Linked DNA regions of Stegostoma tigrinum. The protein of the gene in region 1 interacts with the protein of each later gene in a biochemical or structural test. Links are inferred from orthologs where the notes say so. Each region holds a gene or a part of one and is shown on either strand. Other genes may lie near its edges.

Region 1 (10,658 bases):
GGTCATTAATCAAAGGTTCATTTTGGAAAAACAAGAAATAATAACGAAGCCAGCAGCAAGGACAGCACTCAGCAGCTCTCAGATGATTAAGGACAAGAGAGAAATTCAGAGAAATTCTTACCCTCAGGTCTATATTTGCTACAATTTCTGCAGCTGTATGTATTGTCAGAAAATATTGACAAATAACATTCTCGCAGTATAAACAATTCACCCACCATCACAATGAAAATTGTTGAAATGACTTCTCAATTAGCTGGTGAGAGAAGACAGAACAAAAGAGCATAATTTTGATTTTACACACTAGAACTCTTTCACTTAATCCTTCAAAGATTGCAGGTCAGTTGAAACAAAAAATGAAACTGAAAAATATTTGTTAACAAATGCTATCTAAGATTATGGAGGAAAGGCAAGTTAATGAAATCAATGTACAGATCACACTTGATCAATTAGAATGACAGAAAAGGCTCGAAAGATTGAATGGCTTTTTCCAGTTTGAATGCTGTCATAAGTCAGCTCAGGATCAATCTTTTCATTATGCAATCATTCGACCAACATAACCAATGACACAATGGACAATCTTGCAAAGATTGTGTTGACATTAGTGCTACTTTTAATTGTCTGCTTAGTTTATATGCGGAATACAGCAAAGGCTTCTCACACCAACATTGGAACTAAAGTGCCGTCTCATCATGCATAATAAATCGAGTGGAGGGAAATGTGTGTTCTGTAGCTAGATTTGTCTTTAGCAGCACTGACAATATCCAGTCAGCTAGGCTACTAGTTTAACTATGAAACACAATAATTAAAGAAGACAAATCGTATAATGGCAGAGTACTGTACAAAAGATTCCTTCCATTTTAAACAGTTGTACAATGCACGATGCAGTGCTGCATGACCGCATGACGCTAACTCAATCGCGTGTCCCTGATGAAATCAGCAATTGTGAAAGCAAAACTACAGTTTTCAGTAAAACCCACAGAACTGAATTACCTCCTTGCATTCCCTGTGAGACATTCATTGTTTTCCATGATTGATAGCTTATTTTTTTGAATTAAGTAAAAAGGCTTTCTCCTTACATGCACCCAGTTTAACATAACTATGGTAATAGCGAATTGATGAAGCAGGGGAATGTTGAGCTGCACTACAGGAAATGTAGAAAACCATCTGAAGCATCTCTTGAATGCCCCCACCACATTTCCATGCAATGAATTCCATAACCTCACTACTCACTGTGTGAAGAAAGTTGCACATCATTCTCCTCCAACACTATAAAGGACATAAGATATTACATCGGTCTTGTCTATGGTCTGTTTGAATGGTTATAATCACAATTGTTTGAGATCGCACTGTTGGCAGTAGTTCTGACAGTTACCAGCCATATTTAGATAAGATACGTTCACCTTTCTGTATATCAGCAGTGAGTGAGCACTGCACAAACCCAACAAAGGTAATAATCTAATGGAATCAGATGCTGTTCAAGGAATGTGGTAGAAAATGATCATGTTTGTTTCGAAAGGTAGGTTTTTTCCTAATTTCCAATGAACTGTTTTGTTTGTGTATAGTTCAAACTTACTTTTGATTGATTGATTCCTTGATTAATTTATTGTTGTCACATGTACCAAGATACGGTGAAAACTGTTGCATTGCGCAGTATACAGGCAGATCGTTCTGTGCAAAATAGCAACAGTGTAGCAGAACTGCATGCAGAATACAGTGTTGCAGCTGCTGAGAAGATGCAGACAGAAAGATCAACATTAACATTTAAAGGTCCGTTCAAAAGTCTGATACTGTGGGGAAGAAGCTGTTCTTGAAACTGGTGGTACCTGTTTTCAAGGTTTTATGTCTTCTGCCCAATAGAACAGTGTGGAAGAGAGTATAACTGGCGTGGGAGGGGTCCTTGATGATGTTGGCTGCTTTCCCGAGACAGTGGGAAGTGTACATGGAGTCAATGGATGGGAGGCTGGTTTGCACGATGGACTGGGTTGTGTTCATGACTTTCTGTGGCTTTTTGCGGATATGGGAACAGCAGTTGCCATACCAAGCTGCGATGCATCTGGATAGGATATTTTCTGTGGTGCACCTGTAAAAATTGGTAAGAGTCCTTTATGGACATGCTGAATTTCATTAGCCCCCTGAGGGGTAGAGGCATTGTTTTGCTTTCTTTACTGTGGCATTGATGTGGCTGGACCAGGACAAATTGTTGGTGATCATCACTCTTAGGAACTTGATACTGTCCATCATTTCAACCTCACCACCATTGATGCATACAGGAGCATGTCCTCCACTCCACTTCCTGAAGCCAATGACCAGCTCTTTCATTTTCCTAATGCTGATGGACAGACCATGGCGCTAAGCATGCAATCTCTTTCCTGCATTCTGCCTCATCTTTCAATCTTTTGTTGCACAATCATACGCTCTTCACCTCATTAATGATGCAACGGCCTCTCAGGTATGTTTCTCAGGGGGACGGCACAGCCAGAGAAGTGAAAGTGTTTGCTACTTTCAGTACTTTGCAGCTTTCACATGGCTAGGTTCATGTTTAAAGCCCAGCTGCACAGTCCCATGTACAACACTGCTCGCCCAGAACTGTCCATCGCACTGTGGTGTGTGAACTTCAGCGTTCAGCGTATCGCCCAGAGAGAAGGAAGACTGACTTCCTGCTTCACAGACAGCAACCTGAAGATCTTGGTGTTGTGGAAGTCCTTTTCTCAACCATCTGCCACACCAGGCTATGCAACCAGACGCACAGAAAGCCTGGGCACAGATTGCAGCCCAGGTCAGAGCTATGTTAGGAGGGAGTTGGGATGCTCAGCAGTGCAGGAGAATGATCAATGATCTTCTGCAATCTGCGAAGTCAAGGGCTACCGCCTTCTCTCTGACATCTCACACTCACTGAGCCACCTCTGACTCTAAGTCTGTCACTGCACACCAAGACTCCTGAACTGTAGTGCCCAGTATTATGCTGCATGCATTATGTCTACTCAAAGACTTCCCCCATCTCATCCACCCTAACCACTTACTCTTCCTGACTTTGTGTTTCCAACTCACTGGGGATACCTCATCACCATTCCAGCTTATAGAAAATATGATGATGGTTCTTGTATTTACTTTCGTCATAGTCCAGTCCTTCCACTGCTTTCTTGCTGTAAAAAATGGCCACAGAGTGTTGTCTTCATGGCTCCTCAGCTGATCTACTTGTAATCCCTGGATTGCGTGCACTTGACCTGCAGGCCTGATCTTGGCCCAATCCTAGGGCTGTAAAGATATGGATCCCCAGACTCCAGTAGGACCAAGCATCTTATTGACTGTGACTAACCCTTTAGGTTTGAATAAAACAAGTCATTTGATTGTCTATAGATTCCCATCCCCTCACATAAGACTGCTCACCTCTGACTTTCAGGCATTGTCTTTTTTTTAACTAATTCATAAAATCCTGGCTTTGTTGACCATTTATTGCCCATACCTAACTATTCAAAAGACAAATGAGAGTCAATCACTTTGCTGTGGGTCTGTAGTCATGAAGAACTGAGCAGGCAAAAGAGGGCAGGTTTCCCTTCACTAGAGTACATCAGTGAGCCGATTGTTTTCTTAGTGACAATCAATAATAGTTAAATGGTCACGATTAGGCTAGCATTTTAATTTATTTTATATCTTATGTGAGATTTGAAACCACAACAGCAGGATATTAAGCTGGTGCTCGAGATTATAGTCCCATGTTGTTACCACTACACCACCATCTCCTCAGTCAGTTGAAGCCCACGCAGTAAGTCTGCTGTAAAAGTCGCTGGCACAAACTCAGGTACTACATTGGTGTAGCACAGTGGCACATGGTGACATGCCAACCTCCTTGAACGTTCAGAGCTTCCCACTGTTACAAGTGGCCTCTAGAGTGAATTGTTGAAGGATTGAGGTGGCTTGGGAGTTGTTCCAAGAGCAGGCATTATGTTGTGATGAGTATGATGTTGTGTTGATGCCAGCTGACGTGGATGAAAGGTCAGGAAGGATGGTCTCCATGGAGTGTGCAGGGATGTTATAGTGAGGGAGATGTTGAGTAGCAGCTAAGATAGCATTTGACAAGTGGGAGCCTCAAGGTTCCTGATCTTTTGCAGTTCGGTGCTTTCTAGCTTCTCAGCAAAGGAGAGAAAGGTTGAAAAAAATGCTTGAGAAAAAGCGGGGTCACTGCTCAGTGGCAAGATTCTTAAGGTACCATTTTAAATCACTAGAATTTTTATGACATTGGATTGTTCATATTTTTCATTTTCACTGTAATGTATGTTCCCAATATTCTTTCAATTACACCACACCAGGGAGTGGGAGATGTTGCCGTGTATGTTGTGTGTCTCGGCCAGGTAACATATCCAGTCTGTACGTCAAGTTTAGTAACTTGGGTGAAAATACAGTGTCGGAATCCTATTGCAAGTCAAAACTAAAATCTCTTCACCATTGATAAAGAGTTTGACCACTCTTAATCAAATCTCACTTCTAAGTGCCATCGATAATTCATTGGTAACATTCCCACCTCTTAGGTCAGTCAGTTTAAGTTACACTGCAGGGAGTTGAATGAACAGTCTAGTCTGTCAATCCAAAGCAGCACTGAGGGAGTGCTGCACTATCAGATGGTAAGATGTCGATCTGTGGTCCCAGTCACTTTCTTCACACCAGGAAGATTCCAACGGCTGTACTTTTGAAGAAGAGCAAGGGAAGATGTCCTTGGTGCGCAATGTTTCTTACAGTTCAGTTAGCTGAGTTAACAAAGTGTAGAGTTTTATGAACACAGCAGGCCAAGCAGCAATTTAGTAGCTGAAAAGCTGATGTTTTGGGCCTAGACCCTTCCCGAAACATCAGCTTGTCTGCTCCTAGGATGCTGCTTGGCCTGCTGTGTTCATCCAGCTCTACACTTTGCTATCTCGGATACTCCAGCATCTGCAGTTCCTAGTATCTCAGTTAGCTGAGTGGCTGGTTTGGTTGTCAAAATGATACCAACAGCATGGGCTCAGTTCTTGGCCCGGCTGATGTTACAATGAAGGCGCTGACTTCACAACCTCTCCCCTTGCCTGAGGCATAGGAATCCTCAGGTTAAACCAACACCAGTTGTCTCTCTCTAATGAGAATACTGGGTAGCTTTACCTTTTACCTTAACTGTACAAAACTAAGCGTGCTTCAATACATTTACTTAATTGATTGTGAATGCTTTGAGATGTCAAATAACACTTCCTTGAACATTTGTACAAATATTCATAGCAGAGAATATTCGGTGAACATTTCTGATGCCAGAGATCTCTAGGATGGCTGGTATGGGACAAGGCAATAGTTCACCTCTGTGTGCTGTCATGAAAGTGATGTGTTCTGTTAGAGCAGAGAAAGATTTTAAACCTACGCTTAACAGAAACAGTAGATGCAACAACTGCAGAAAGCTCCCTTTCACTGTTTCTCCTCCTTAGAGAAGAAAAACAAATATTACAAAAACAGTAATTTCCAAATGCTGTCTCTTTAATGCTTCCCACTGAGTAAAATTGATATGGAAAAATCAATACATATTAGAGTTAGCTTTTAAGAAAAGCGACATTGTATTCCCTTAGCTGACAGTTCCAGTTCATGGCATTACTGGAGATGTACTTTGACCTTAGCGTAATGTCATGATTTTCTCAGGCGAGCGTTTGCTTTTGGAGAAGGTGGGGGAGGAGGTGGGTTGGGGGTGGGATGATGAGAGGGAATGGAGAGGCAGCAAGTTACATAGAGCAAAGGCTGTTTGAAACACTGTCAATGCTTTTCAATGCCAGACTGCAATCGATGATCTCTTCATCTCTTTCTCTGAGAGTCACAAGGAAAATGTACATGGAGACTTTGGTGCAGGACAAGCCTTTATTCTCACTTCAGACCATCAGGCCAAAGACAGCAGAGAAGGTAAAATATATTGTTGCAATGATGCATTCTAAAAATATTCTTGGTTCATGTCTTCCGAGATGTTTAATGGGTGAACGTAGATTTAAAAACTGTATTTTCAAAACGAGAAACCACCGGTTCACTTGAATTCCTGTTACAGGGATTGTATAAAGTTCTGTGTCCCACAATGAACTATATTTATTCCATGAATGGCTTGTGCTTTCAAGCTAGAACCATGTACATTTTTAACTTGTAAGTCAATTGAAAACTTTGGCACCGTTAAGTTGAAAGATATGGAGAGGGCACATGGGAGGACATTGTAAACTCATCTGAAACATCCTTGCTTGGGTATTGAGACTGTCTAAATTAACCTGAGAGTTCAAAGGATGACATTCTATCAGAATTTGTAATATTCTGCCATTTGTCACAGGATTAGCTGGTCTGTTGTTGTATCATGTGACGCTTCGTGAGAAAGTCTCCTGTTACAGGATCTCAAGGGAAGCATAACCTTGGATTTTGATAGCACTGAAGACATCTCAAAGTGGATGGATTCCAAATAAAATAAAGTCTAGTCTTGTTGTCCTGTGGTAAAGCGCAAACTGACAAATGAAAAGCATGATCTCACAGATAGCAATCAGATAAATGACTGTGTAACTGGCAGTGGCTGTACTTGAAGAAAGAATGTTGGCAAAAAAAATGAGGAAACAACATTTTCTTTGCTGTCAAAAAATGTTGTTTTTTTTTATATCCACCTTAACGATCAGAAGTTGCACTTAATTAGTTTAATATCTCATCTATAAAACAGCAGCTCTGACTCTGCAGCATTCCCTTAACAAGGCAACAGACCGAAATTAAATGATTAAGATCCCGGTTGGGAGTTGAGCCTAAAATCAGGCAGTGGAGAGGGGGATAATAGGAACTGCAGATGTTGGAGAATCTGAGATAACAAGGTGTAGAGCTGGATGAATACAGCAGGCCAAGCTGCATCTTCTTCAGAAAATGAAGGGTCCAGACCCAAAACATCAGCCTTCCTGCTTCTATGATGCTGCTTGGCTCGCTGTATTCATCCAGCTCTACACCTTGTTATAATGGAGAGGGGGAGTCAGCTGGATTGAAATAGTAAAGATACAAATCAGGAGGCTTAATTTCTAAGTATAGTTGCTGCTAAAATGGAAAATTGGATTCATAATGGCATGCAAGAGGCTCAGTGACAGTGGGGGAATGTTAGTGAACTGTCAATTTTTGGGTGGGAGAATGAGAAGCCATACTTTCCCTCTCAGAAGGGAAATGATTTGGGATGGCAAACCATGTCTGGTCACCTCCAAATGGCTGAGACAAGGACAGCAGAGTTAATGTAATGTCAGCGCAGAGCAGTAAACATGCTCTAAAGGACTCAGTTAGCTTAATTGGTTGGTTTGCAACACAGAATGTTCAGTTCCTGAACCAATTGAGGTTACCCTAAAGGACTCTCTTTCTCAATATCTTCCCTCGCCTGAGGCATGATGACCCCCAGCTTAAACTCGCCATCAATCATCTCTCTAATGAGAGAGCATTCTTTCGGAAACAATGATTATACGAGGGATAAGAATACTTAAAGCAGGCACCTGGAATTCCTCATACCATAATAGTTCATCATCTCTGTTCGAAGAGGTTGGGTAGGAGTTTCAGATGGGCACATTGGTATAATGGTGTGATTTGAAGAAATAGGGGAGTTGGAAATGAGATTGTGAAAATGCCTCAGACTGTTTTGCTTCTTTAGTTTCCTGGAGCCCAAGGCTGTTGATGCTCGATGTGTGTTAAAGTTTGTCACGCTACTTGCAAAGCTTGACTTATTCACTCTTCCCAATCCATCATAAGGGAGACAATACGTATACTTTAAATGAGCCATGCCATACCACACCGTCAGGAATCTACATCCCTGCCATTATCTTTATGACACACTTGCAACAGCAGAATGATTTCTTTATAGTCACTAGCTGCACTTTCAAACGTCTGGTATTTCATAAAATCAGCTCTGTCCCTCTCTCGCTCTCTCTTGCTCTCTCTCCCTTTCTCTCTTTCTCCCTCTTTCTTTCTCTCTCTCTCTTTCTCTCTTTCTCCCTCTTTCTTTCTCTCTCTCTCTCTCTCTTTCTCTCTCTCTCTCACTCTCATTCTCTCTCTCACTCGCTCTCTGTCTCTGCTCTGTCAGATATTGATGTGAATTTCTGTCCACTGCAGAATGCCCTTTGCTGTGGATTCATTGCCTGCTATTGCAGTAAAGTGGATCCATTTAGATTTTGTTTCTCCATTTAATTTGGCTTAAAATGACTGATGTTGCAGCTCTCAATCGTAGAATCATAAAACACTTTAAGGAGGCCATTCAGCTCACAGTGTCTGTACTAGCTCTTTGGAAAAGCCACTAATTATTTCCACTATCCTGTTCTCCTTCCTTAGGCCTGTGATCCTTTTCACTTCAAGTAATTACACAACATCTTTTGAAAGGAAATTACTGAATCTGCTGCCACTCAGACAGTGTTTTCCAAATCCTAATAATTTGCTGTGTAAAAATCAACTCACCACTAGACAACAAGACCGTAAGAAATAGGAACAGGAGTAGGGTGTTTAGCTTGTCGAGCTTGCTCCACCATCCAACAGTATCATGACTGATGCAATGTGGCACTTGTATCAACTTACCTTCCTTTCCCCACCTACCTTAATTCCCCAGTCGATCAAAAATCCATCCATCTCAGCCTTAAATATACACAAGGAAATACACTATCCTTATCTCTCTCTTGCTCTTTTGCCAATATCTCCATTCAAAGCCTCGTCTTGGATCCTTGACAGAACCAGGGACTTTTGAGTGTGTATCAATGTTACTTCTGTGGCTGCACTCTAACCTTAAAGGCAAAATCTTAGAGATTCAAACCCCAGTTCAAGCACCTAAGCCTGACCCTAGGTTGCCTTGGCAGTGCAGTGCCAAGCTGCACAGTTGGAGGTCATTGAGTTTTACTGCATTTAAAAGATGCCGTTTAGCCCTTCATATCTGATGGTTATCAAGCACCCAACTATTCTAATCCAGTTTTCCAGCACTTAGTCCATAGCTTTGTGCATTATGGAATTTCAAATGTTCACCAAAATATTTTAAAATGCTCCAACTCTGCCCCCCTTTCAGGCAGTGAGTTCCAGATACAGCCCTCTGGGTAAAAAGACAAAAGTTTTTCCTTAAACTCCCTCTAAATCTTTTGCACTTTATATTAAGTCTATAATCCCTGGTTATATATCCATTTACTCATGGGAAATGTTTATTCCTCTCTACAATATTTATGCTACTCAATTTTATACATCTCAGTCAGGTCTCTCCTCAGCATCTCTGTTCTAAGGAAAACACCCCCCATTCTATGTATGATGTAGCACGGACAATATCCTGGTTCAATCTTCCTTAATAACAAAGTGTGGAGCTGAATGAACGCAGCAGGCTAAGCAGCATCTTATGCTGGCCTGCTGTGTTCATCCAGCTCCACACTTTGTTATCTTGGATTCTCCAGCATCTGCAGTTCCCATTATCTCTCAATCTCCTTTGCATTCTCTGTGGTACAATCACGTCCTTCCAAAAGCCTGGCAACCAGAACCGTATATAGTACTTCAGCTGTGGCCCAGATAACTTTATACAATTCCATCATAACTTCCCTGTTCTTGTATTCAATGCCTCAACCAATTAGAATTAGATTTTATTGTCACATGTACTCAGGTACAGGATTGCAGGAGTACAGCAAAAAGTGTACAATGTTGATATTCCCAGGGCCATCTGAGGTAGAAAGGTACCAAGGTACAAAATCTTAGGTATAAAACAGAAAAATAAGGAAATATAGTTAAAAGTTCACAGTTAAAGTCCTTCTTAGTATAAAATAGAATAATAAAGCTAAAAGTTCAACATTGCTATTTATCTTAAGTGCTTAGCAATGCTGGGCTTCCACTCCCCACAAGGGCTCAACCTGCTCTATGCTGAGCTCGATCTCCTCTGCATTGGGCTCAATCTCCCCTGTGATTGACGTTGCCACAGTTACCGGGAGACCTTGGGCTACCTGCTTCCGCCACTGCCATAGATGCTGGGGGATCTCTATTGCTACTACGCTGAGCTCAGTCACGTCCTGCTGGGCACTCTCCTCTGTGTTGGCCTCACTCTCCCCATCTTGGATATGTCTCACCTGGGCTTGGGAAAGTATTCAATTTTCGACTTACTAACACCTCTTTTATCTGTTGCTATCAAGCAATAAACTGTCTCTAGTTAAACAAATGCCTATCTCCCTGCATTTGCTTTAGCTGCTCAGATGCAACACAAAGATGTCAGCTATTACTCAGGTTTTGAAATCCACAACTCAGGTTACAATTCCTGCAAATGGTTAACAAATAGTTCTCCTGGAGTTCCTACAACTTGAGGGGTTTGAGCAGACCTGCCACTTCTCTTAAGAAAAGGCCCAAAGAACTGTGTACGCTTGAAATCAGAAATAAAAAACGGAACTTGCTGGTGAAACACAGCAGGTCTGATAGCATCTATGGAGAGTCAAACAAAGTTCATGTTTTGGGTCAGGTGACCCTTCTTCAGAATGAGTTCTTCAGTTGTGAAAAAAAGTCACTGGACCCGAAACATTAACTCTTCTTTCTCTCCATAGATGCTGCTAGACCTGCTGAATTGTTCCAACAATTTCTCTTTTTGTTCCTGTTATTTCTCTATTAATCAATGACCTGAGAATTAACATTTACCACTACCAGTAAAACTACAACTATTAATTAACTGT
Region 2 (10,000 bases), on another chromosome or scaffold:
GTTGCCCCTCAGGTCACTTTTAAACTTTTCCCCTCTCATCTTGAAAATATACTTCCTAGATTTGAACTCACCCACCTTAGAAAAAAGATCTTTGCTCTTCACCTTATCTATGCCCCTCATGACTTTATAAACATCATTCAAGTCACCCCTCAACCTCCTATGCTCCAAAGAGAAACGTCCCAGCCTATCTAGCCAATTTTTATAACTCAAACCCTCCATTCCCAGCAACATCCTAGGAAGTCTTTTCTGAACTTTCTCCAGTTTAATAATATCCTTCCTAACACAGGGTGACTAGAACCACGCACAGCATTTCAGAAGAGGCTTCACCAACATCCTGTATAACCTCAAATTGACATCCCAACTCCAATGCTCAATGGTCTCAATAATGAAGGCAAGCATGCAAAACGCCTCCTTAACAATCCTGTCTACCTGTATGCGATGGCACCTCAAATGATGTAAACAGTTCTTCAAAGTTGTGATGGTCACCACATCTACCATTCTTTCACGCAAAGAGTTCCAGATATCTGCAACCCTCCGAATAAAAAAAAATCATCCTTTAATCCCTTCGACAACTCCTGCCATTTACCTTAAATTTAAGTCTATTCCTTCAAAGTGAGCAGTTTCTCCCAAACTACTCTATCTGATTCATGATTGAGCACGTCTATCACATTTCTTCTTACTCATGTGCTTCCTAAAGAGTGGTACCCAGAATTGGTCACAATACTCCAAATTGAGACTGAAAGTGTTTTAGAAAAGTCCTCCAAACCTTCCTTGCTTTTGTAATCAGCTTTTATAAAGCCCAGGATCCCAAATGCCTTAGTAGCCTTCCTCAACCAGCCTTGCCATCTTCAACAACTTGTGCACGTTTACCTACAGACCTCTCTTCTCCTGCACCCCTTTTAGGATTGCATCATTTCATGTTTTATTATATCTCCTCATTATTCCTATCAAGTATATAACATTAAATGCAAACTAATGTTTTTAATCATCCATTTTTACCCCTGAAGGTTGCAAGATATCTCCATGGACAGAAGCGGGGAAATGGGAATTAATACAACTAATTACAGAGAGGCAATGACAGACCTCTTTTTTGAAGATCATGTTGGATGGGTAGATCATTTGGTTGCTAAGTACTTAAAAGAAAACTGCATTACGGGTGCACGATGTTTATCCTTCATGATTTATTTAAGAAAGAAGAGAAACTAAATTTAACCCCTGGTATGTACTGAGTGAAGTAATCTTATCTATACAGAGGACACAACAATTAGTTTGTTGTTGTTGGACTTAGGTGAAAATGGAAACAACAATCTAATAAAACATAACTGAAAGAAAGAGGGATTTTGGTTAGCTACAGCACATTCTGTCACCATGGCAGGGTGAAAAACAGCATGTTGGAGAAGTCTACGGAGGAAATACCTAAGGTATGGTGAAGATATTAACTTTATAACTTACACAGAATGGAAATTAAACTGTGGCAGAACCCAAAAGTCAGAGAACTATATGTGAAAAGAGGTAGTTGATATCAGATGGGTTAAGAGCCTAGGAAAAGAATGGAAAAGGGACAAGGATTTCAAACGTTCTACATTTAGGAAACTCAGAATCAAATGAAAAGGATGGTGATAAGTTAATGAAACTTAGAGTAGTATAGAGTGTGGCCATGAAGTTGAATAATCCTTCACAATGTCATGTCAAAAGTGCAGGTATTGGTTAAGGCAAAGTTATGCTGAAATGAAAGGGGCAATAGCATGAAATGAAGGCAGGCAATATTAAAAACCTGGAGTGTCCTGCCTTGACATTCAATAAAATATGGGTTTAAGGCCAACTTAGAGTCAAATGTTCTATTCAACCACCAACTCAGATGCTAAAAGAATTAAACTGCATGATCTAATTACTGACCTCGAATATTTGCAATACAGCAGCCAAGTGCATTTGGCTTATCACAATCAACATTGGAAAAAATATTTGGCAGTTTTTCTAACTTCCACTGTTTTCCTTCCAATTTTCCCATCCATCTATAGGTATTGATCCCTAACACCATTCCATGGAAACATGGACAGAGTTTCCCTACCTTTTTTTTAATTCATTCACAGGATGAGGGCGTCACTGGCTAGACCAGCAATTATTGCTCAACCCTAACACCCCAGAGAACAGTTAAGAGTCAACCACTTGCTGTGGGTTTGGAGTCACTAGTAGGCCAGACCAGGTAAGGATGGCAGTTTCCTTCCTTAAAAGGACATGAGTGAACCGGTTGTGTTTTTCCTGACAATTGACAATGGTTTCATGGTCATCACCTTAATTCCAGATATTTTTAAAAATTGAATTGAAATTCCACCATCCACTATGGCAGGATTCAAACCTGAGTCCCCAGAACATTACCTGGGTCTCTGGATCAACAACGTAGCAATAACACCACTATGCTATCACCATCCTAATATTCAACATAAGGAGTCCTGGCTGGCTGACTGACTGCAGAGAATATTTCACAGCTTCAATGATTCCAGGTCTTAACCAGCATTTACCAATTTCCATTAGGACTTGTATACTTTTCAGGAATGATCAGTTCTCTTTTCTATAACTAATAATTCACTCAATCAACCTGGGAGTTCTGAGTGCTTATGACTGTTGAAATGAAGATTTATCTTAGACCCACCCAAATTACTTTTCAATAACAGGTACCTACATATAAAATGGATAACGTACTCAAAGGTTTCACAGCAAAGTGCAAGCAGATACCTTTTCACAGTTCCCAGAAAGCCTCTGATCTTTTCCACGCATACCCAAATTGCAAAGCCTGCAGCATCCTCACTCTAGCACTTCAACACACTCTGTAAACAGTAGAATTTGAAAGCATTATAAATACTGCAGAGACCCCTAGAGTGAACCCATAAATGGTACACCAATTTTAACTTCTGGGATTTCCCTTGTGGGGTTGCAGATTTCAAATCTGCTTTTAAGGCCATTGATCATGTAAAAGTAAGAACTTTCAGCCAATTCACACTACTTTTTAGCATTCTTAATTTGTAACATTTTTGATAAGCTTTGCATTAATGACAGAAAGTTTACTGCACTAATCCTTGCATTAATATCTATGAATGCATGACCACTTAAACTCACTACCATGTATTCTAAAACAATATTTCTGAAATTGCATGCAAGACATTTTGCTATATAGCACCACTGATTGATCACTTTTGTACGCAGACCAATACAACAGAGAATGAAATGTGCCATTCTCTCATCATAGTTGTTGAGCCATTAATTCTGATAATCCAAATAAAGCTTGACGTAATTGCACAGCAGTGTTATTTACTCAATGTGAAAATTGATTTTAATCGCTAATTTTAAAGTTGAATTCAATATACTTTGTTCATCAGCATTTTTACTCACACACACTAGTAATTCTAAATCTCAGATGCTATTAATTTTAGTTGAAAACCAAAACTTCGTCGAAGTATCTCGTTCTTAGAAATAACCGTTTAACGAAGCGGCTTGTGGTTATGTCATTCAAACCGTAAGACAAATTCCAGCCTTCTTCTGATGCTGACAGCAATGTGGCATAGACAGTGCAGACAAAGAGGAAAACCTTGTCGCTATAAATGTCAACACCTTCCTCCCTACAACACCAGCACGCTTAAAATCAGACCTTGCAACGAATAACAGGAAAGACGTCGGATTTCTCATACAAAGAGAGGGACAAATTAACTCCTAAATTAAAAAGGAAAGGAAAATGACAAAATACGCATCGGCATCTGGGGGAGGGGGGGGCGGTTTGAAAGAGTTAGAAATCCAAGTTCGTATCCAGAACGGCGGTTTATCCACGCTTTCTGGAAATCACTACCCAACACCCACTGTAATTGTGGAAGGAATACTTATAAGCCTCCATCCATTTAAAAAAAAATAGGATTTTAAAAATTACACGCACAAAATATGAAGACAATACAACCCACTCACTAGTTAACGTACCTGATTAAAATGAGATGTTTCAGAACTTAACTACTGATTTCCAAATTCGCACATCGAATAGAACCCCCCGAAATGAGATTTTTCGCCTATCCAACTTAAATAAGAGTGTGTGAAATGTGGTATGAGTAAATACATCAATTACGTGCTTCCCGGCAGGTTCGAATCATGAACCAGAAAAACAAACCACCAGTATGCTCCAAAGTATCGCAAAATACATCAAATGAGTGACTCCTACGTGAACCCCTCACATTTTTTGTCGTTTTTTTGTTGCCGAGATGCTTCGAAACTTGCTCAAAAAATAAATGACACGCACCAAACAAAATAAGACTGCACTCAAACAGGAAGAGGGATAATGGAAGAAAAAGTTTCCAACGTTTTTTTTAAATTGCATCTTCACAGAGGGGAACAAGGTTTATTTTCTCTCATTTTGTCTGCAGGAGGGAGTGTAAATCTCAGACTAACGTACCTCCCTCCCTAGCAACCGCAAAGCTTTCGCGTCACTTTCCACCCCCCGCCCCCACCCAAAATTCCCACAACTGTGATGGGGGGGTGGGAGAGAGAGGTGGTAGATGGGTGGGTAGGGAAAAGAAAGAGAAGCACCGATCATCAAATATCATTAATCGCACATGCCCTACTATGCAGGCCAGATCTACTGAATCCTGCCCAGCTATTATTAACCCGCACGGCGTGTTTATCATTCACCTCACCTTTCAGGCCGGCGCTCCCTCCGCCTGTTTGAATGAAGCGGAGCCGCTTCTCCCACAACAACCGCAGCGCCTGCACGCGCATCCGCCAGCGTCGGAATAGAGGCGGGGCCTGCGCCTGACGTCTTCGCACCGCGTGCCCTGGCAGTGACATCATTCTGCCCGCCCACCACGAGCGACGCCGGGTGTCTGACAGGGAAGTGGGAGCTTCTCAGTAAGATCATGGCTGACCTGTGGCAAAGTTCCTTAGGCCCGCTTTGGGTCTATCAGCCTTTGGTTTAAAACTTGCCTTTTCTCAGATTTAAATTTAACAAGCAAATTAGCATCTATCGCTGTTTGAGGAAGAACTGCAAACCTCTACTGCTGTTTCCATTATAGAAATGCTTTCTAACAACTTTCCAATTCTTTGACTCTTTGTGCCAACTGGTTCAGTATCTTCAGCCAGTGGAAATAGTTTATCTTTACCCTGCTAATATCCCGAAGATCTCAATTAGATCAACCCTTTAACCTTCTAAATTCTACAGAATAAATAATTTATCTCATGTCTACTCAAATTAACCCCTGAACCAGGTATCATTACGTGTAAATCTACCTTGGACACCCTTCAGGGCGAAAACATCCTTTCATATAACTGCAGCATTATATCAGCTCCAGACCTCCAAATATGAAGGACAGCATTCCATTACCTTCTTGACTACTTTCTGCATCTAATCGTGGCATTGTACAGTTAAGCATCTGAACCCCCAAAATCTCATTGGTCATCCATTGTATTTAACTTTGTGCCTTCTAATAAATTCCCTGAGCTATACTTTTTCAGTCTGAAATGAATAACGTCACAATTGCTGATATTCAATTCCATCTGTCAACCCTGCCCAGCGGTTTTAACCCTCCCCCCTCAGCTTTTTTACCCCCACTGATTCCCCTCTCTTATTCAGTGCACTTGTTCTATGTATAATGATGCCAATACAAGATTTATAGTTTTGGATATAGATTTATTGGGTGTTTATTTTTACTTCAGTTCCATTCAAGGTTAGTGCTGCAACTTCAAACGTTCTTTCATTCCAGCTATCCAGTGTCATTCTCAAGCCCTCCCAGGTCAGATGCAAAGTAAATCTCTGATGTCATTAGAATTAGAACATTACAGCACAGTACAGGCCCTTCGCCCCTCAATGTTGTGCCGACCTGTCATACCGATCTGAAGCCCATCTAACGTACACTATTCCATGTACGTCCATATGCTTATCCAATGATGACTTAAATGTACCTAAAGTTGGCGAATCGACTACCGTTGCAGGCAAAGTGTTCCATTCCCTTACTACTCTCTGAGTAAAGAAACCACCTCTGACATCTGTCCTATATCTTTCACCCCTCAATTTAAAGCTATGCCCCCTCATGCTCGCCGTCACCATCCTAGGAAAAAGCCTCTCCCTATCCACCCTATCTAACCCTCTGATTATTTTATCTGTCTCAATTAAGTCACCTCTCAACCTTCTCTAACGAAAACAGCCTCAAGTCCCTCAGCCTTTCTTCGTAAGACCTTCCCTCCATACCAGGCAACATCCTAGTAAATCTCCTCTGCACCCTTTCCAAAGCTTCCACATCCTTCTTATAATGCAGTGATCAGAACTGTACGCAATACTCCAAGTGCGGCCGCACCAGAGTTTTGTACAGCCATGTTAATTGTATTAAAATAGCTGAGGATGATGAGATGAAGTTAAAGATGAACCTTCGAGATTTTGTGAGCTCAATGTAATAAATACAGAGCAGCAAACAGAAAAGTCACATTTTAACATGTAAGTCAGAGGGCATAAAGATCAAATTGTACATTGCTGTATCACACCTCGTTTCAAGGCTCATATTTAGTTCTGGTCACCAAAAAACAGGCAAACTCAAAGCAATGTAACAAACAGCCCCAAGCTGATGCAGAACCAAGAAATAAAGCTCTGTTGCAAGGAAAAGCTATTCATTTCTTTCTTTACATCATTGCAAAATAACTTGGATTTTATGTTCAAACAAATGTATCGATGCATTTGCAGACTGTTGTCTTTGTAAAAAGTAGCCTTTAGGGAAAGCATCTTACTGATGAGCTCGCAAAGATATACCAGATGTTTACAGGCAAATTACAGAACATGAGTTTAAATTGAACTGTGAAAGGCCAAGTTAAAATCTGGATCTCCTTTTCACCAGAAGTTATTATGATATGGATTTCTGGGCAGAAAAGCAATAAAAAACCAAGGAAACCTTAAAAAATATAAATGCTGAAAATATAAAAAAAAGTGTCTTCTGGGCTGAGATGGGAAAATACTGTAATTATCTTATGTTCTCCCTTTTGCCTGAAAATGCATATGAAATTTTCAAGCTCAGAATAAATTTAATATACCAGTGTCGACCTCACTGATTGATATTTGCAAATTGGAAACAATGCTTTGTTACAGCCAGAATAAACTCATTGAGAATGTTCAAACTCAGTTCACATTTTGAATAGAATATATCCTTATGGCTGTTTATTGTGCTTTATTGCTCTGTGAATCAGTATGCTAAGAACTTGCAATAATGTTCTGCTTTAAGATGGGGGACATCTCAATTCTATTGTAATATAGCATTTATTTACAACAACTGGTACTCAGTCAGAGCAGTAGTCCAGCTTTGAAGCACAGTAAAATGTGTTCAGTTTGAGGAAAACAAAAGAGTGGAATACAAACCAATCTCAGTATTGATATCCGTAAGTTACATACAGGTTACAATGAATTCCTGACATTTATTAAAGTATTGATGTGCAACAAGTTATACTCAGTATAATATCAAGCCTTCTGTCTATAAAGCTGTAAAGTAACTTCAGTGACTACTTTCCCCTCCCCCCATAAAATATACTTTATTCCTAAAATTTGGAAAGGTGTACTTCACAACATTAGATAGAATGAACTACATCAGGTTTTCTTCAATACAATCACAGGGTGCCTCATCACATGTACCTTATCTGGTTATATTTATAAAGGACATTTATATTTCATGTCTTACATTCTCAGGGGGATACAGCCATCCAGTTTTACACCTGGAAGGTTTCTAGCCTGGATAATATGACAAAGGGGATTTGGACAGTGGTCTTTCCCCATTGCATTAGTCTGTCTATAAGCACATGGCCATGAACCTTGGAAAATGCCCTTTACACTGAAAGATCTAAATGTTTTCGGCCTATCTAAAAGCATCTTTCACTGAGTTGATGGTCCCCTAATAGATGTTATGTTTGTTTCCACATGTGCATCCAGGGGCAGCTTGTAGAGCGCAGGGTCCTACATTGCAGATTTTTTCAGATGAACCACTTTTCATCCTCTTTCCAGATCTTTCCAAAGATATATTCACATCATGGGAATCCCTTTGATTTGGCGGGCAAGATGTTGCAGTGCAGCTACATCCCTTGGAGTGCTGACTGTCATTTCACTAGACTCAGCAGTCAGTCATTCTAAATTCGTCACTTTTAGACCAGTTCTTTTCCACTTGCTTATCCCTTACCCACCACCATCTTTTGTTATTTGAAATTGTTTGCCTCTTTTATTTCCATTCCTCTCCTCATAACATTGACCCTTGTTGGGTAAATTCCCAATTTTACCAGCAGTTATCAGGTAACCTGTCCAAAAGACCAGCATTTATGTGCAAATTTGGCCACTGTATGTTTACTACAGAGAAAAGAAACTAATTAAGACCATGAGAAAAGAAACTGTAATATCTAATGTTATCTATTTGGCCAATAGTCAATCCCAAAGCTTCTCTGACACTGATAAGACCTAGAAGATATAGTAGCTTTTACACTTCAGGAAAATAATCTCAAATCACCAGTGATGTTACTGCTTTCTTTTATTTAAACTGCCTTGATGAGAAAAATGAAAGGCAAGAGATGGTTTCAGGGATTTCAAAACTAATTTGAGGTATTCAAAAAATGTGTGATCTCAGTCCCACAGTAGCAGTTCAGAATCCATATTTTAAGCTCCAAGAGTGAAGGCAAATTAATCAATATGTAAAGGTCAGGTGATACAGTCTTGGGTTCTAAAATTCTGTTGATGGTACAGTAGAGAGCGGACTGCAGGAGATGAGAATTGCACTTTTGAGGTACAGGAAAATAACTAAAATTCAGACATGTATGCTGATTCTAAACGTCTTGAACAAAATCATCTGTAAAAATAGGTACTGTCTTGTAAATTGATTTTGATAATTTTCTTCCTGAACCAAAATTTAGTGGACACAGTTATAGAGGTGTTTATGGAAAACACATGAAAAATTACCAAGACAAGCCCCGCATTTCTAACTTATGATGAGGTTGAGGTTGATTCCTGTACATTGAGGAATCAATTTGGAAATTTAAGATTAACTTTCAACACATATGCCTTATCTCCCAACTTTGCCTTGGTTCTAGCCGTCCTCTGAGTTGTTAATTAATGGGAATGGCTCTCCCCACAATGTAACAAAGATGCAGATTGGCTATATAACTCAGGGAAACATTTTTTATTTCTTCATAGTGAAACCCAAATAAGATTTGCATGTAACATCTTATTTACTGGTGATAATTGTGTAATGCCTGGGAATAGCATGCTACAACACAGTCAGCAAAAGCAAACAATAAACCACAAAGATAATAAAGTGTGAAGCTGGATGAACACAACAGGCCAAGCAGCATCTCAGGAGCACAAAAGCTGACGTTTTGGGCCGAGACCCTTCATGGGGGGGGGGGGGAGGGCTCTGGAATAAATAGGGAGAGAGGGGGAGGTGGACCGAAGTTGGAGAGAGGAGAAGATAGGTGGAGAGGAGAGTATAGGTGGGGAGGTAGGGAGGGGACAGGTCAAGGAGGTGGGATGAGGTTAGTAGGTAGGAGATGGAGGTGCGGCTTGAGGTGGGAGGAAGGGATGGGTGAGAGGAAGAACAGGTTAGGGAGGCAGAGACAGGTTGGGCTAGTTTTGGGATGCAGTCGGGGGAGGGGATGAGCTGGGCTGGTTGTGTGATGCAGTGCGGGGAGGGGGCGAACTGGGCTGGTTTTGGGATGCGGTGGGGGAAGGAGAGATTTTGAAGCTGGTGAAGTCCACATTGATACCATCGGGCTGCAGGGTTCCCAAGCGGAATATGAGTTGCTGTTCCTGCAACCTTCGGATGGCATCATTGTGGCACTGCAGGAGGCCCATGACGGACATGTCGTCTAAAGAATGGGAGGGGGAATTAAAATGGTTCGCGACTGGGAGGTGCAGTTGTTTATTGCGAACCGAGCGGAGGTGTTTTGCAAAGCGGTCCCCAAGCCTCCGCTTGGTTTCCCCAATGTAGAGGAAGCCACACCGGGTACAATGGATACA

Evidence for each region.
Region 2: the proteins of D(2) dopamine receptor B-like (region 1) and neuronal calcium sensor 1 form a complex in vitro, tested with the Homo sapiens proteins (2 studies listed by BioGRID, with this or other methods). The link is inferred for Stegostoma tigrinum from reciprocal best matches to the Homo sapiens genes DRD2 and NCS1.

The regions. Positions count from the first base shown.
Region 1 is NC_081385.1:7,594,222-7,604,879, forward strand, and holds the start of D(2) dopamine receptor B-like, read left to right. Parts: upstream 1-5,757; 5' UTR 5,758-5,763; coding exon 5,764-5,904; intron 5,905-10,658. UniProt on the Homo sapiens protein: Dopamine receptor whose activity is mediated by G proteins which inhibit adenylyl cyclase. Positively regulates postnatal regression of retinal hyaloid vessels via suppression of VEGFR2/KDR activity, downstream of OPN5.
Region 2 is NC_081382.1:34,886,302-34,896,301, reverse strand, and holds the start of neuronal calcium sensor 1, read right to left. Parts: upstream 4,779-10,000; 5' UTR 4,671-4,778; intron 3,983-4,670; exon of another isoform or gene 3,964-3,982; intron 2,826-3,963; exon of another isoform or gene 2,734-2,825; intron 1-2,733. UniProt on the Homo sapiens protein: Neuronal calcium sensor, regulator of G protein-coupled receptor phosphorylation in a calcium dependent manner. Directly regulates GRK1 (RHOK), but not GRK2 to GRK5. Can substitute for calmodulin. Stimulates PI4KB kinase activity.